2 linked regions of the Drosophila melanogaster genome follow. The protein of the gene in region 2 binds, or shares a complex with, the protein of the main gene of each other region. Each region holds a gene or a part of one and is shown on either strand. Other genes may lie near its edges. The genes, in order: Chrac-14 and Chrac-16. A codon is read from its position in the direction of its gene.

What was found.
Region 1: the proteins of Chrac-16 (region 2) and Chrac-14 are in contact, whole or in part, in a crystal structure (PDB 2BYM), measured with the Drosophila melanogaster proteins. Residues at the interface, in NP_001285148.1 of Drosophila melanogaster: Thr35 (codon at 3,362), Gly36 (codon at 3,359), Leu37 (codon at 3,356), Thr39 (codon at 3,350), Asn40 (codon at 3,347), Glu41 (codon at 3,344), Val42 (codon at 3,341), Phe44 (codon at 3,335), Leu45 (codon at 3,332), Met46 (codon at 3,329), Lys48 (codon at 3,323), Cys49 (codon at 3,320), Thr50 (codon at 3,317), Glu51 (codon at 3,314), Leu52 (codon at 3,311), Phe53 (codon at 3,308), Val54 (codon at 3,305), Arg55 (codon at 3,302), His56 (codon at 3,299), Leu57 (codon at 3,296), Ala58 (codon at 3,293), Gly59 (codon at 3,290), Tyr62 (codon at 3,281), Arg69 (codon at 3,260), Pro70 (codon at 3,257), Gly71 (codon at 3,254), Glu72 (codon at 3,251), Ala73 (codon at 3,248), Leu74 (codon at 3,245), Lys75 (codon at 3,242); in NP_476646.2 of Drosophila melanogaster: Ile15 (codon at 3,532), Leu18 (codon at 3,523), Ile19 (codon at 3,520), Glu21 (codon at 3,514), Ala22 (codon at 3,511), Leu23 (codon at 3,508), Pro24 (codon at 3,505), Glu25 (codon at 3,502), Ser26 (codon at 3,499), Ala27 (codon at 3,496), Ser28 (codon at 3,493), Val29 (codon at 3,490), Ser30 (codon at 3,487), Glu32 (codon at 3,481), Ala33 (codon at 3,478), Ala36 (codon at 3,469), Ile37 (codon at 3,466), Arg39 (codon at 3,460), Ala40 (codon at 3,457), Ala41 (codon at 3,454), Val43 (codon at 3,448), Phe44 (codon at 3,445), Ala45 (codon at 3,442), Phe47 (codon at 3,436), Val48 (codon at 3,433), Thr49 (codon at 3,430), Lys62 (codon at 3,391), Thr63 (codon at 3,388), Ile64 (codon at 3,385), Thr65 (codon at 3,382).

The regions. Positions count from the first base shown.
Region 1 is NT_033779.5:8,433,258-8,441,078, reverse strand, and holds Chrac-14 (chromatin accessibility complex 14kD protein), read right to left. Parts: upstream 3,675-7,821; 5' UTR 3,575-3,674; coding exon 3,188-3,574; 3' UTR 3,083-3,187; downstream 1-3,082. Other genes in the region: mus201 (mutagen-sensitive 201), read right to left, coding at 1-55, 148-2,307, 2,377-2,552, 2,616-2,703; D12, read left to right, coding at 3,904-4,794, 4,852-6,870. UniProt on the Drosophila melanogaster protein: Accessory component of the DNA polymerase epsilon complex. Participates in DNA repair and in chromosomal DNA replication. Histone-like protein which promotes nucleosome sliding of ATP-dependent nucleosome remodeling complexes.
Region 2 is NC_004354.4:12,014,410-12,022,129, forward strand, and holds Chrac-16 (chromatin accessibility complex 16kD protein), read right to left. Parts: upstream 3,553-7,720; 5' UTR 3,465-3,552; coding exon 3,042-3,464; 3' UTR 2,816-3,041; downstream 1-2,815. Other genes in the region: regucalcin, read left to right, coding at 1,110-1,157, 1,594-2,312, 2,370-2,562; Lsm12a (LSM12 homolog a), read left to right, coding at 4,772-4,916, 5,219-5,349, 5,416-5,532, 5,598-5,729, 6,126-6,254; Tango4 (transport and golgi organization 4), read left to right, coding at 6,751-6,869, 6,929-7,720. UniProt on the Drosophila melanogaster protein: Histone-like protein which promotes nucleosome sliding of ATP-dependent nucleosome remodeling complexes. Part of the chromatin-accessibility complex (CHRAC) which uses energy/ATP to increase the general accessibility of DNA in chromatin.

The sequences.
Region 1 (7,821 bases), on a different chromosome or scaffold from region 2:
GTTCTTCTGAGGTCTTTTGAGATTTAAGAGCCTCTGCAGCATCTTTGATAATCTCCTGTAGGGGTAAAACATTACATGAATAAAGAGAATAATATAATAATGAATAATATTAAGAGACTCTGGCATATTAATCAGAACAATACACACCTCCGGATCTACAGTCTTTTCTTCTTCCGGCTCCTTTGGCTCGAAGAGAGACTTCGAGGCCTTACTGGACCTTTTAGTGGGCGAAACTTCCTCATCACTGTCCTCATTGGCATCACTAGCTCGTTTCCGTCCGGACTTCGGGGTTCTCTTTCTGAAGAAGGGCTTCGGGGTCTTTGGTGTTCCCGGCGAAGTTTCGTTTGACGCTTGAGATTTGTCGGGAGTTCGCTTGACCACGTAACTGGTCTCAAAAAAGTCCTTAATGGACTTGTTTTTGCTTGGCGTTTTGTTCGGTGATAGGCGATTGTTTTTATTATCGTCGCTGTCGCACAACTCAATTAGCTCTTGCTTCGGAACTATTTTCGAGGATTTCAAGGTACTTTCGTCATCGGAGGATAGTATGATAGGGACACTATTGCTTAATTTCACGTTATCTAGAGTGATGTTTTTAACGTCGGCCATCTTTACTTTTAGCTCATCCAATATAGAACTGATTTCCACCTTTGGTTTTGGTTTTTCTTCTTCATTTACGTTTAGCTGAATATCTTTAACCGCAGCCGTTTGTTTTTTCAGATCATTTAAAATTGATTCCAGATCGGGTTTGAGATTAGGTTCTGCAGGAACCGCTTCTTGGCTATCTTTCACTTCGATAATTTCATCAATGAACGGCTTGACTTCATTACTTTCTTTAATACTCTTATTCGTTATTGGTTTATTTTCATCTTCAGTATCCAATTTTAATTCCTCACTGTCTTTCACTTCTATAAAGTCATCGTCTTCCTCGACGCTTATAGTTTTCTCTATTTTATTTGCCTCTCCATCCTCAAAAATATCCGCAAACAGATCATTCGAATCCGCTTGGCCAGTAATATCAACACAAATCTCAAGATTCTTCTTGCCTTTATCCAGCTCCTGAACTTCCATTACTTCCTCCAAGTCTGAGTCGGTATCAGTATCTACAATCTCCACCTTGTCCTCGTTAAGATTCTTCTTGCTTTCCTCAATTGCTTGGGATAGTTGTTTGCTCTCTTCAATAGCTTGTGAAATAAGTTTGGCCTCCTCAATCGAGTTGTCAGCCATGTCGGTCGGGACTGTCGTGATCTCTAGCAACTTTTCAAGGCTTTGAGTGTCATTGAACTGAGTGGCCTCCATGATGTTGCCAACTTCCTCGTCGTTCATTCCGCCGTATTCAATCATATAGGCCCGTGCAGGTCCCTTGGCCGCATGGCGCAATTGCTTGGTTTGAGCTCGATTGAGGCGCAACTCTTGGTCCGAGTCGTACTCGTAGTCCTTTTCATCGTACACCTTGGTCTCCTCCATTGACATAGACAGTGCTTTGGCCAAATCTTCATCGAACTCTGTGCCTAGGTCCACACTTTTCACAGCCTCTTTCTTGGTGGAAGTGCTTGGCTTCTCATCCTCCTCCTCAGCGGGTACCTCCTCAATCATCTCCATTTTAACCTCTTGTTTGGTGCTCTCCATTGCTTTCTTTTTAAGATCCCTGACCAGCAGGAATCGTGTATGTTCATCCGAGCTAATTTGTCGGGTGCACTGTTCAATGGCCGTTGGGGTGAGAATGCCCTCCTCATTGAAAAAGTCACACAACTCTGCATAGGTAAGCGTATGTCCGCCCATCTCCTGTTCCGCCTGCTCTAAGCTTTCCTGAACGGCTCGGCGCTTGAGGAGTCTCTTCATCTGGAAGGAGCAGAAGTCATCGCTGCGGGCGGGCAACTCGTGCAGACGGCCCCACGACGATTGCTTGCGCGTCTCCTTGATGTCTGTAAGGATCTCGTGTCGCACATCGGCTGGCAGATTCCGAAAATGCTGACTCTTTACATCGATGGCCTGTAAGCTAGAGTTGTAAGAATGTCGAGCGGTTGACTCGTCAAAGGAGCTGTCTGAGGCACTGGCACTGGTGTCCTGCTCGCTTTCATCTTGATTATCTTGCACCGATGCAGCCGGCAGTTCGGGAAGCTTAAACAAGTCATCCTCGTCGTTCTTCTTAGCTGGAGGCGGTCGCTTAACCGGGGATTTCAACAGTAGCTCTGCATTCTTGCCCAGCGCTTGCTGCACTACTTTTTCTTTGGCCAGGGATTGAAGGAGCAAAGCCTGAATGCGATCAGCTTCGTTGCTGAGCTTATTCCTCTGCTGCTGGCGACGTGCCTGAAGGGGTGACATAAAGAGGATTTAATTTAGAGAGTGAATTTGATATATTCCCCTATTATAACTCACAATAGTGTCCCTTTTAAGCTGCGGCACGCATCCATCGAAAATGAAAACCGGTCGCACACGATAGTATAGCAATTTACAGAGACGATGGAATAGACCCAGTAAATGGGCATTACTCAGGGCCGATCCCTTGTTGTCCTGAAAGCCCTTCACAACCTGATGCAACCAAATCGATATATCTGCAGGACGAAAAGTACTCCAATCAGCAAGTATTTCATTAGGTGGCGAAAAACGATGCTTACCCACTGCTAGGATTTTGCCCTCCAAAGTCTCTACGGGGACTGGCTTGCCGCACGGCTCAATGAGCTTCCACAAGCCCGTAACTCCCATTTTCTACTAAAATATTAATTGTATAAAACATGCAAAATAATAACTAACTAAACTTTTTGTTGCGATAAGACGCGCTTTTTTAAACAGCTGTTTCCAGTGCTGGAAAGAACACGCGGTTATCTATCTGGATGATTTTTAAAACAGTGATTTTCTGATCACATATATAAACAAATAATTACTGAAATACTTAAATATTATTCTGACACCTTTATATACTTTGAATGAAGGCGTAAAAAACTAGATCGGACTGGATTGAAATGCGGCATTATTTAAGGGTGTAATTCCAACCGTCACTTACAATCCCAAATTAATCCCATGTAAACGTTGACTAACAACATAATTTAGTCTTTGAGGAAAGTGACAAAACACAAGTGAAGTTCTTAGATAATGCCTATGTTTAATGTTTTTTGTTAATGCTCAATACTAGCTTTGTTCTTAATGACTGAAGAGGATAATTGATCCGTATAGTTTCTCCTATTCGTAATCACTCGGGGGCTTCCTCTGCTGTTGCGGTGGCACTGGCGTTGGCATTTTCGGCAGTGTTGGAATCCTTCTTGCTGGCCTTGCTCTCCTTTTTCTCCTTGACCACTTTACGATAGACCTCGAGATCCTGCGTCAGAGAGGGCACGAAGCTTTCGAAGTCTAGCTCGGTGAGGGTCTGTAGAATATCCTTGGCCGTGATGGTCTTGTGGTTCTGCTTGTGGGCCAACGCCGTCGACGAGGATGTCACGAAGATGGCAAACACAGATGCCGCTCGGGCGATCGCTGCTCGCGCTTCCTTGCTGACACTAGCTGACTCCGGCAGTGCTTCCTTGATGAGCCGGCCAATCACGGCATTCGGCAGGTTAAGATCCTCGATGCGCTCGACCATTTTGCTGCTGCTTATCTGCTTTTACTTGGTGGGCACTTTTGATTTTCCGTCTAGATTTCGGCGTCTTTGCTTCCCGCGTAAAGAGTAAACAGCTGGCTGAACAGTGTTGGACAAGGCCAGCGTGCACGCATCTACACCAGCGATGTGGCAACTCCCCCACTCAATTCTGTTTGCGCCGCCTCGTTCGCATCAATTGTTTACACATTTTTATAAATAACAGCCAATTACCCCGGCCTAAATGTGCACGGAGCGATTCGGGCCAAACTTGAAGCTGTTCCCCTCCGAACTAACGTGATACAAGTCCTGTGCGTGTGCCAGCTACCACGCACATGGACCAGCAACAAGCGACGCCGCCAAAAAAACGCAGGCACAGCGAGTACCACGATCCAGATTATCAGCAAACGGAAGTTTCTAGCCAGGATGAGGAAGAAACCTGCGCAGAAGCCGAGTCGCCCGGTCAAAGAAAGTGGACCAAGACGGAACAGTCGGATGGCATGCTGCCGTTGTCCGACAAATTTCAGCGCATCCGGGAGCTGCTTCGTCTGGAGTTCCAGCGCGAAATCTCTCAGAAGGTCGAGCAGCTGGCCGAGATCGACCGACGACTGCTGCAAGGACGACAACTGTTGGACAGACTACGCTATCAGGTGGTCAGCGAATATTACCGAAAGCAGCAGGTCCCCCTCACCGGCGCGGATATTGCGAAAGTGCGCGGCGACAGCCTTTTTGGGGACGACATAGCCGCTCCGCAGCTGCCACTGCATCCAGCCATTAAAAAAATCGTTGGCAAGCGCCCTGTTGTCATCCAAAATCATTTGCCAGAGCGCACGGCGGCCACCTTGGCCAAAGAAACCATCCGACTGAGGAATCCGGCTCATCGTCGGGCGGAACGAAGGCGGCAACAGAAGATCAAGGAGCAGGGCATCGTAACCGATCACTCCAAGGACAAAAAAGATCAGCCAGAGCAGGAACCTCCCATTTCCGTTAAGTTGGAGGACGAGCAGCCGTGCACCAGCCGACAGGCCCACGAAAGGCAAGTGGAGCTGAATGCCTCGCGGCTGAATAACAAGAACAAATTCAACTTCGTGGTGGGTAATACTTCCAAATACATTGGCGAAGACTCTCGAGAGAATGGCACAGGTGGGAATGCTTTGACCTATAAGTGGTTGGTCTATGTGCAAGGCAAAGATCTACCTGAACCACTTGAAAAATACATTAAAAAGGTAAGTAATTCCCATAAGCACGTACGGAGTGATTCAATCTCTTCTTCGCAATTCTAGGTGCGCTTCCACCTCCATCCGTCATACCGCCCAAACGACATCGTGGACGTGCACAGGTCTCCGTTTCAGCTTAACCGACATGGTTGGGGCGAGTTTCCGATGCGCATCCAGCTATTTTTCCAAGAGCACTTGCAGCAGAAACCCGTGCAACTAATGCACACGGTGGTGCTGGATAAAACAATGTGTGGACTGCACACGATGGGCGCAGAGACCACTGTGGAAATATGGCTGAGAGCAAAACAGGCGATAACGAAACAGAAAAGCGGCAAACCTCATCCTCCCCATGAACAGGAGACTGCAGTTCCTGCTCCACCTCTGGCTGCTCCGAATGTTTTAGAGCCTTCGGTTTTCGCCTTTCCTGGAGAGTCATGCAAACCGCGCACCATTTCAATCACTCAAAATAAGGAGGAACTTGATGACAATCTGTTTGCTGGTATCAACAAAATTGAACTCAGCGACGACATTGAGAAAATTGAACCAACTGTGTTGGTTTCAGAGCCCCTGAAGTTAAACTACAGTCCAAGAAAGCAGCCACCCACTCCGTCATCGCCTCCTAGGACTCAACTTCGGTTAAATGCGGCTCAGGTCACCGCTTCGAAGCCTTCTGTGGTCTATCTGCCAGTAAACGGCCGAAGTCCTAGGCAGGAATCCTTGCCAGAAAGGCAGCGGCAGGAGTTTTCGCCAGTAAAGCACTATCCACCGGCATCTCCGCAGAGAGCGTGGAAGGAATCCTCGTCGGATCGGCCACCAATAAAGCCTGTGCCCAATGGCCATCACCAGGGCAAGAAGAATGTTGTGTTTCAGAGAGCAGGAAAGCTGTACATTATCGATCCCTTGCAGCGCAAGCTTAAGCAGGCTGCAAAGCAACAATCCCTGCTGAAACCACAATTGAGTCTTCTTAAGCCACCGTCAGAAACGCGATGGCATATGCTGCAGTGCATGCAGCACGATCATGGGTACGCCAACATGAGCGGCGAGATGGAGGAAAAGCCAATGCTGTTACCTCCAATTGTGGACACTACCATACAATCGCGACCCCGAAGGCTGGAGCACATCTTTAGAAGTGCACAATTCCGAAATATGCGCAGTGCTGTGGAGTTCCTGCTGAGCCGCCTCCCGCTTGCGTCGATTGATCAGCAAAAGGAGTATCCATTCACTTGTATAACCCTCGAAGAGTTCCACAATCACACTGCTCTAAAACAACGTTGCTTTGAGTACCTGCGCGCACGTATGCTCCGTCGCTGTCTGATGCAGCACCACGAGCTGCATAAGTTGGACATTAGTGGAAAGGAACACTACTGGAGTTTACGGGAGATAGTGGCGTTCGCCAGGGTTCATGGTTATACGCCAGCTCTCAAAGATGTTTTACCTGTCGTGCATGAAAAGAGAAAACAAAAACTGAGCGATGAGGAGCAACTGGCTCGGCGTGTTCAGGCGCAACTAAAGGGCGAGCCCCAACCGCAACTGTCGGCCTATAGCAGTCTCAGCTCAGGCAATCGGCTGGAAGCTTGGATAACCAAGCAATCCGATCGTCTGCTTGGTCATGATCAACAGATGCGGGATAAGGAGTTCATCGATGTGTTGGGTGTGGACAAACCTCATCCGCTTGCGTCCAGGTTAACAAACTCAGCAGATGTATCTTTCCAAATGGTGAATCATCGCCAACTACTTTATCTACCTCCGCCGAAGCACTTGGATTCGACCTTGCAGCTGGTCCAGGAAATGTGCAAGGACATTAATATCACACTGGAACCGGAGGAATCTCCGCCTGGCGTCTCCCAGCCACTGGCTCTCTCGATGCTCGGACAAGTGCTGCGCACTTTTATTGAGAAATTGGTGCGCCGCTCCTTGGCGGCGAAACTGCAACAGGAGACTTTGGAACAGTTGCCACCGGCGGCGGCCAATGCTCCGTTGTGTCTCCAACCTCAGGACATAGGCCGTGTCATCAGTCTGTGTTCCGAATTGGATTTCCTCGGAAACAGTCACTTGGGAGTTGCTCCGATAGAACCACAAATCTAATGTGCAGTTGCCATTGTTTTGAATTTATTTTTTATCAAGTCCGCGTCATAGTTCAAATTCTACTGGGATATTAGTTGATATCTAATTAGAGCCTTGTACTCGTTGGTAAGCATAAATCTAAGCAATAAATTAACTAAATTAATGTCCGAAGAAATGAATACTGCGTTTTTAATTATCAACGATTATCATATTTTGGACGAAATCATGAGATGAGTGGTCATTAATTTTTAAATTTTGAATATCTGGCTGAAGACTTTTAAATTGTTTTATCAATATAAATAATAATCGCTACAATTGCATATTTGTACGAAACATGTAAACATTTTTAAGTCTTATCAGCTATCTTCACAGAGTAATATATCTTTATAGTGCCCTAGAAGTATGCAGTGAAAAGTGCCGTTAACAAATTGAATAACTGTTAAAGGGCGGTTTTTTTTTGCAGCTCTTAGCATATCCATATGATTCTTCGACTATTATCGGTCGCAATCGCATCTCTTTTGGGGGCGCTCTCTTCGCTCTCCCCGCTCACCGATCGATTTCATTCATGGCGCATGCCAATGCCGCCAATGTAGGGATGAGGTCCATCTGTTTCTCTGGCTCTGTTTTCCTCAGTCTCTTTTCCGACGTGCGCGCAACAAGACCTAAAATCAAAGTGGAGCAGAGAAGAGCCCGCTTCCCGCGCTTGCTGCTCTTTAGATTAACTAATTAATTACTTGCCTGATATATAAAATGATTCACGAGTCATTATAATAATTATAATGTCGAAGCCTTCTACAGGCCATATAGCAGCTCCAGTACGTCTAAGATAATCTATGAAAAGCTTTTGGATCACCAATTTTGAATGCTATTTCTTTTCCTTTTTTTTTTGTTTCGTGTGTGTGCGTTCGTGCGACAGAAAATGTGGAGGCGCTAAAATGTTCTATTTTTATTTTGCAGTAAAATCCACAAGGA
Region 2 (7,720 bases):
GATCGGGTGGCATTCAGTTTGAACGCGCTACTCAACGGAGCCGTGTCCAAGGATTCTCGATTCTCTATTCTCGATTCCCCATCTCTCAGCTCAAGCTTAAGCTATCTCCAAGGTAGGTGCTCTCCTGCAAGCGTTCCCCGTTTTTTTTTTTCAAGTGTGTTAAAGTGATGCGAAAAAGAAGGCATAGTTTATACTGAAGACTTTTTCGAAAAAACGGAAGCATTATTAAAATTAAATAGAAATTTATGAGCTTGCACAAATTAAATTTAAATTTGGTAAAAAATATAGCTCGAATATTTTCCTTCTATTAAATGTGCTATTCAAAAACTTTTTCCCTTTTTTTTTAAATTTTTTTTTTTTTTTTGTATTAAAAAAATTTCGAAATGAGAGACTTCAGCACGGATTAAGTACTCAATTATTTTCACATGCTCCACACATCTGAGCAGCTACTTGTGAATTTGGCATTTTCGAACGCTCTTGCCCCACTGTGCCCTCTACATGTGTCCGATAACAGAAGTGCCTGCCAGTGAGCATCTCTTTAAGGTCTCCACTTGACCAATTCAATAACAGCAGCCGAATGACAACAAAAGTCAATTAAAAATCGCTAAATGCCAGGCGCAATCAAACTTAAAAGTTAATCGCAGCATCTGTTGTTGTTGTTGTTGTTGCTTTTGCTTTTGTTGAGTATGTGAGTGTAAGTGAAGGGCATGACGTCACAAGAGCACAGCTGCAACGCACAGTGGAACCATTGCTCGATAAAGCTAACGAAAAATTGTAGCTTTGCATACAGAAAAAAACATGTTAATTGTATGTATTTAAATTGGAAATACTTTTTACTAAATTGATTAAAAATATAAAACCGGAAAGTGGCATATGTTACAATCGAAAAAAAAAAACTCCATTGTGCTCCACCGTCGGCCTTTGGAAAAATTGAACTTAAAACATGGAAATGGAAGTAAATAAATAATCTCGCATTGTGTTCCGCTTGCGATGATGACGATGCCGCCGATTCTCAGCCAGTAATGTCAAGCCCCTGGTCTGGAGGTAATAAAAGCAACTCCGAGCGATGGCTTTGGGCTCAGTTTGGATTCGGAGCCAACGAGCGCAAGATGATGTTACTGATTCCCGTGATTGCAGTGTGCCTTTTCGGCCTAACGGTACTGCGTCTATAAGTAGGACCAACTAAAGAAATTGAAGAAAAAAAGTGTTACGAAAGTCAAGTGTTTGAAACTCTACAAAAAATCGCATATTTAAATGAATATTTAAATTAAATTAAATGATTAATTTAATTGCTCATTGCTCGCATATAAATTATCCTGATAATTCTATTTTATCGCAATGTTGACAGTTTGAATTATTAGTTTTTCGCTTTTGTGCGTAATTTTCTGATTTAATCCTACATCTAAATTCGAATTCTCTGTACTTCTTAATTGTTTAATTCAATTTAAAATCTAATTAAAATGGCAACCATGATAATGATAACCATGAAGTGCTATAATGCATTCCAAATGCCACTTTATATCCACTATAAATCCATATAAAATCAATTAGATGCACTAATCGCAAATCGGTTGTTCCCAATTTCGCCAACAGATGTCGTACAAGGTGGAACCATTGCCCGATTCCTACGCCGGCCTGGGCGAGGGTCCCCATTGGGATGTGGCCAGGCAGAGCCTGTACTACGTGGATTTGGAGGCAGGCAGCCTGCTCCGCTACGACTATGCGCAGAACAAGGTCTACAAGACAAAGATCGAGGGCGAAACCTTGGCCGGATTCGTGCTGCCGGTGGAGGGACGTCCGCAGGAATTCGCCGTCGGCTGCGGTCGACGCGTGGTGATCGTCAACTGGGATGGCGTCTCGCCCAGCGCCAAGGTGGTGCGCACACTGTTCGAGGTGCAGCCACTGATGGAGAAGAATCGTTTGAACGACGCCAAGGTTGATCCCCGTGGTCGCTTCTTTGGCGGCACCATGCGCTACATTGGCGATGAGTTCGAGTTCCGTCACGGCGAGCTGTACCGCTGGGAGGCCGGTGGCCAGGTGTCGGTGATCAAGGGCGATGTGGGCATCTCCAATGGACTGGCATGGGACGAGAAGGCCAAGAAGTTCTACTACATCGATACCACCGACTACGAGGTGAAGTCGTATGACTATGATTTCGAGACCGGCGTGGCTAGCAATCCCAAGGTTATATTCAATCTGCGCAAGAATAGTCCCAAGGATCATCTGCTGCCCGATGGCCTGACCATCGATACCGAGGGCAACCTGTATGTGGCCACCTTCAATGGCGCCACCATCTACAAGGTTAATCCCAAGTGAGTAGTTCACTCTAACATTCGTGATCGAGTGTTAAATGTCGTACTTCATTGCAGCACTGGCAAGATTCTGCTTGAGATCAAGTTCCCAACCAAACAGATTACCTCCGCCGCCTTCGGTGGCCCCAACTTGGACATCCTGTACGTGACCACTGCCGCCAAGTTCGATCAGCCCGCTCCAGCTGGCACCACCTACAAGGTGACCGGACTGAACGCCACCGGCTATCCCGGCGTCAACCTGAAGGTCTAGGAGCTGCAATCTCTATCTATCCTTAGCCGCAGTAAAATGTACCAATCGAATCCAAGTGCAATTATATGTTATGCTCTTTAACGTTTTAAATCGCGTCTATCAATGTTTTGCATGCTAGTTAGGTTATCCTTTTTTGCAGTTCTAGTTCAAGGTCAGCTTAAGGATCACATTCTCTCCTGGGAATATCCAGGATCATCATGTAAACTCACAAAGAGGTTGACTATGCTCTACTTTACTCTGATTTCAAACAACAATCTTATCAGCCGCAGACACACGGTAATCATCCGCGGATCTTATGGTCATTTGGAGGACGCAGTGCTCTTATGCTTCTTTATTAATCAGTGGTTCTATAAACAATTTTATACTTATCGTCTAGTCTAAAATTAAAGATAGCAAGGTGGCGTAAAAAATCAGTCGATGTTTTGGTGAATGGAGATCATCCACTCAATTTCGGTGTAGATAAACATCTGCATGACCGTCTATTCATCAGACTCCGATTCCGATTCGGACTCTTCTTCATCGTCATCATCGTCGTCGTCATCGTCGTCGTCGCTGCCGGCGGAGCGATTTAGCCGCAGCATCTCCTGGAACTGGTGTACACGGATCTTTTGCGGCACGATCTGCAGCAGAAACTCCAGATTCTTGTTCTTATTGACCACCTGGGAGAGATGCTCGTACTTGAGCGCTTCGCCCGGTCGCTGGCCGAATTCCTCCGTGTATGCCGCGCCCGCCAAATGGCGAACGAATAGCTCCGTGCACTTGGTCATCAGGAAGAGCACCTCGTTGGTGATCAAGCCCGTGTCCATGGAGCTCTTCATGATCGTTCGCACGCGGCTGAGGGGCAGAAAGGTTTCCGCGGTCGGTGGACGCTCCACGGGTGGTTGGCTCCTTGGTTCGCCCATTTGTTTACTTAATTCCCAAGCAAACTATGGCTTGGGAATTTTTTTGGTTTTAGAGCTGGGCTCACAAGTGGAGCTGTGAAACTATCGATGTTACAATCGAGGCATGAAATTCGTACCTTTCTGAGACACTATCGATTCTTTTTTTTTATTTGCTATCGATGGTTATGGTTTATGAAGACTTAAAATAAGTAACCGCAGGGCTTCCCTTAAAACGAACAATGCTGGCATACTTCTATTTTTGCAAGGAATTGGATGTGCACAATAATATATGTGTTACTTTCTCAGAATTAAGTTATAGCGCTAAATATATAAAAATTGAGAAACCCATTCGGATTTGCCTATACTTTCAGCTCTAGCTGGAGCGGGAATTTAACCAAATAACGTTGCGCCGATATGCTATCGGTAGCCACAACAAGTATTTAATAAAAGTTTTCCAAATATTTCAATTTATTAGTGGAAAAACCGCTCTAAGCAAATACCTTTAACTTAATCAAGAGATTAGGGGTAAAACGATTAGGATCTGCACGATTTATAAGGAAACATTCAATTGCAACAACATTTAGACAAGTCAATATTATCTACTTTTGTCTTTTCAGTATGCAATCAACTTTGGATTTTCACACTTATAGCTTAAAAATCTGTCTTCATTTTCGAACTCACATATAAATAAATATCAATAAATTATTATTGCACTTGATTTGTTTGCAGCAACGTTGCCAGACTTCCGTAATCGATGACTATCGAACCTATCGCTGCGCGGCATGTGCAACACTGCGTTTTCTGCTGCCCCCTTTTGGCTGTTGTTTCGTGTGTTGACCAATAAATTTTTCGCGTACTTTTCCAACTTTTCAATTACCGAACCGCAATTGCCGCCAAAATAGATAGCCGATAGCTAGTCGAGCGAGTAACCAGCGAGTTTTTGGCCAATTCACGCGACGATCAGGGGCAGTGGAAGCAGGAGCAGGATCTCGACCAGATCGCCAGGAAGCGACATTTCCATTAGAGCGGTTCAAGTGAAAGCGAGTGAGCTGCACGGCACGAGAGAACGAGACAGACAGACGGCGAGAGTGAGAGCGAGCGAGAGAGCTAGTTAAATCCTTTCGAGAATTCCAGGAATTCAAGCATCCAAAACAGCTGCTGCTGCCGCAAAATCATCAACATCATCACCATCGCTGTTTGTGAAACGTTGTTCAAGCAACGGCGTGCCAACAAACCAGTATCGACATTTAGATCTAGATTCGAATCCCCTATCCACATAGCTTGTGGGTGCACTTTTCCAGTTGGCCAATCTCAACCAGCAATTAAAAATGGCCGCTGCCGCTGCGAGCGCAGTGAATGCAGTGAACGACTGCTTCAGCATCGGATCCACAGTCGTCTGTACGACCTGTTTCAACGAGGAGGTGGAGGGCGAGGTGCTGGCCTTCGATCACAACACAAAGATGCTTATCCTGAGTATCCTTTTGCAACGAAATCCCCGAAATGCATACCCACACACACACACAACTTGCCCGCCGGGTGAAAGCGAGCACTTTCTCCGGCTGTCCACAGGGATCTCTTGAGCTGTCTGGACAAAAAGTCACACTGTCCTTTAGATTCGTATATAATTCTAATTCACACTCATCTTAACTGATAGCATTCACATATCACCTATCTCTTATCAAACCCATTGTTTACTGCTTGACAATTTGGTTCTCCGTACATCGTATATCTTTGCCCCCCGTTCCTGCTCTTCTCTTCCCTTTCCAACCGCATAGAATGCCGATCCAAGTCCACGGAGGAGCTGAGTGATATCTACGCGATGAACCTCTCGCTCTGCAGCAACGTGCAGGTGATCAAGGAGTGCAACGGCAACTTTGATGATCCGCAAAAGCTTAATCTGGAACAGGTAAGCATGCCAGCTCTGACCACTTACATAAATATATATATATATATATATATATTGCTTATACAGGTCAAAATGCGTCTGAGGAAAACAGTTGAGCGAAGACAGGACTACTTGAAGTCTAAGAATGCTGATGTCAGTCCAGAGGCGCAGGAACTCTATAGAGCGATAGCCAAACAATACGGGGTAATGACCTCTTGCACGATGCCCTATCATCATTAACCATTGCTATTTCTTTTACTATTTTGTAGTACAATGAAGTCTCCTGGCAAGGACTTAACATACAGATCCTAAATGAAGTCACCATCTCGCCGCCGTACCGAGTGGACAACGTGGTGTCCAGCTCGAACAACGAAACTTCATGCAACTACATCAAGCGCATCGTAAGCAATTGCCCAACCGCAGCACCTTCAAGCAAACTGTCATAAATCCGAAATGAAGTTCGTTAAATCTTTAATCAGACTAGCAAACCATTGTAACTTAAACCCAACGCAATGGCTCAAACAACGATTTAGTTGAATTAATGTTCAGAACATTCTAGATTCGCTAATGTTTATAGGTTATTCATATGTCAAGATAGTCCTAAATATTTCAAGTACTTCCCAATGTGGTTTAGGGTTTGATTAGAAACAGTATTAAGCATTTTATCATTCTGATATAAACATACAAATGCGCAAAGTTGCGGTAAAAAAAAATAATGCTTTATGACAGAATTGTGGCTGGTGTGGTCGGTGTTTTTAAGTTCATAGGTTAATCTTTACTCCATCTTTTATCTGCAGATCAAACAGTTCTTCAACACGAGGCCATCGCCCGTCCCGGAAAGCGGAGCTGCGGCCAGCACCTCGTCACCATCGGTGTCTCCCACGTCCTCATCTCTTGCATCTGGATCGCCGGTTCCCGCAAACTAATAATAAGCAGAAAAAAAACACAAACAAAACAAAACAAAAAAACAGAAATGTGCTTCAAAAAAGAACAACGTATTGGTTTTTTAATCTCTCGGGTGGGCGCATAAAGTTAACACTTTGATGGGTATTCGAAAAACGATTCTGAAAAAACTATCAGTTTTTGTGGCTTTTATGGTACTTTGAATTCAGGACCCACAATTTCTCATCTCGACTTAAGGTTGTGAAAAGTTAAATCATTTTTTTCTAATTATTAGATAATTCAATTACACAATTTCAATTAGATATTAGATATTTGCATTTAAATACATTTAAAATTTTAATAAAACTTCTTTTAAAAATGGATGCCCATGTAGCATTAACATTTGGCTATAAACAAGCTAGCAGACATCACTGTCCGATAACCGATAGCCCGATTGTTATGTATGGCTTGTGGTGGTCAGCTGCAAGAGCCGCGCCGCGTTTTTAACAAATTTAGCGAATAAGCAATAAATAACAGACAATGGCCATGGAAGACGTGCAGAAGCACAGCGTGCACACGCTGATATTCCGCTCCCTGAAGCGCACCCACGATCTGTTCGTCTCCAACCAGGGAAATCTGCCCGAAATCGACGAACGTTTGTGAGTATACCTGTAGTTTGCAACTTACGCATTGTTAATTTGTGTTTTTCGTTAAACAGAGAGAAGTTGCGACGTTCCATCAAGGCGAAGGATGGCTATGGCCTTGTGCTGGACAAGGTGGCGAAGATCGGCGAGGCCAGGAAGGCATCAGGAGCCCAAACGCCGGGCGACAAGACGCTGGCCATCACCGATGGCAGTGCAACGGATGCGGCCAGCGGTGCCGGCAGTCTGGTTAAGTACAATGCGGGCGCCAGGCCAGCGGAGAAGACAGCGCCACTGGTTACCGGCACACACACATCCCTGGTGCGCGCCTCCCTGGCGAACAGCAATGCAGATATGAGCGCCAATGGCGCCATCGCCAGCCATCTGCAATTGATACCGAAGAAGGCGCCCAGCATACCCAAGCCCAAGTGGCACGCACCCTGGAAACTGTCGCGCGTCATCTCCGGCCATTTGGGCTGGGTGCGATGCATCGCCGTGGAGCCGGGCAACGAGTGGTTCGCCACCGGCGCTGGCGATCGTGTGATCAAGATCTGGGACCTGGCCAGCGGCAAACTGAAGCTCTCGCTCACCGGTCATGTGAGCACTGTGCGCGGTGTGGCCGTCAGCACGAAGCATCCGTATCTGTTTAGCTGCGGCGAGGATCGGCAGGTCAAGTGCTGGGATCTGGAGTACAACAAAGTCATACGGCATTATCACGGTCACTTATCGGCTGTTTACTCGCTGGCCCTGCATCCCACCATCGATGTGCTGGCCACCTCCGGTCGCGATTCCACTGCCCGCATCTGGGACATGCGGACCAAGGCGAATGTGCACACACTGACGGGCCATACGAACACGGTGGCCAGTGT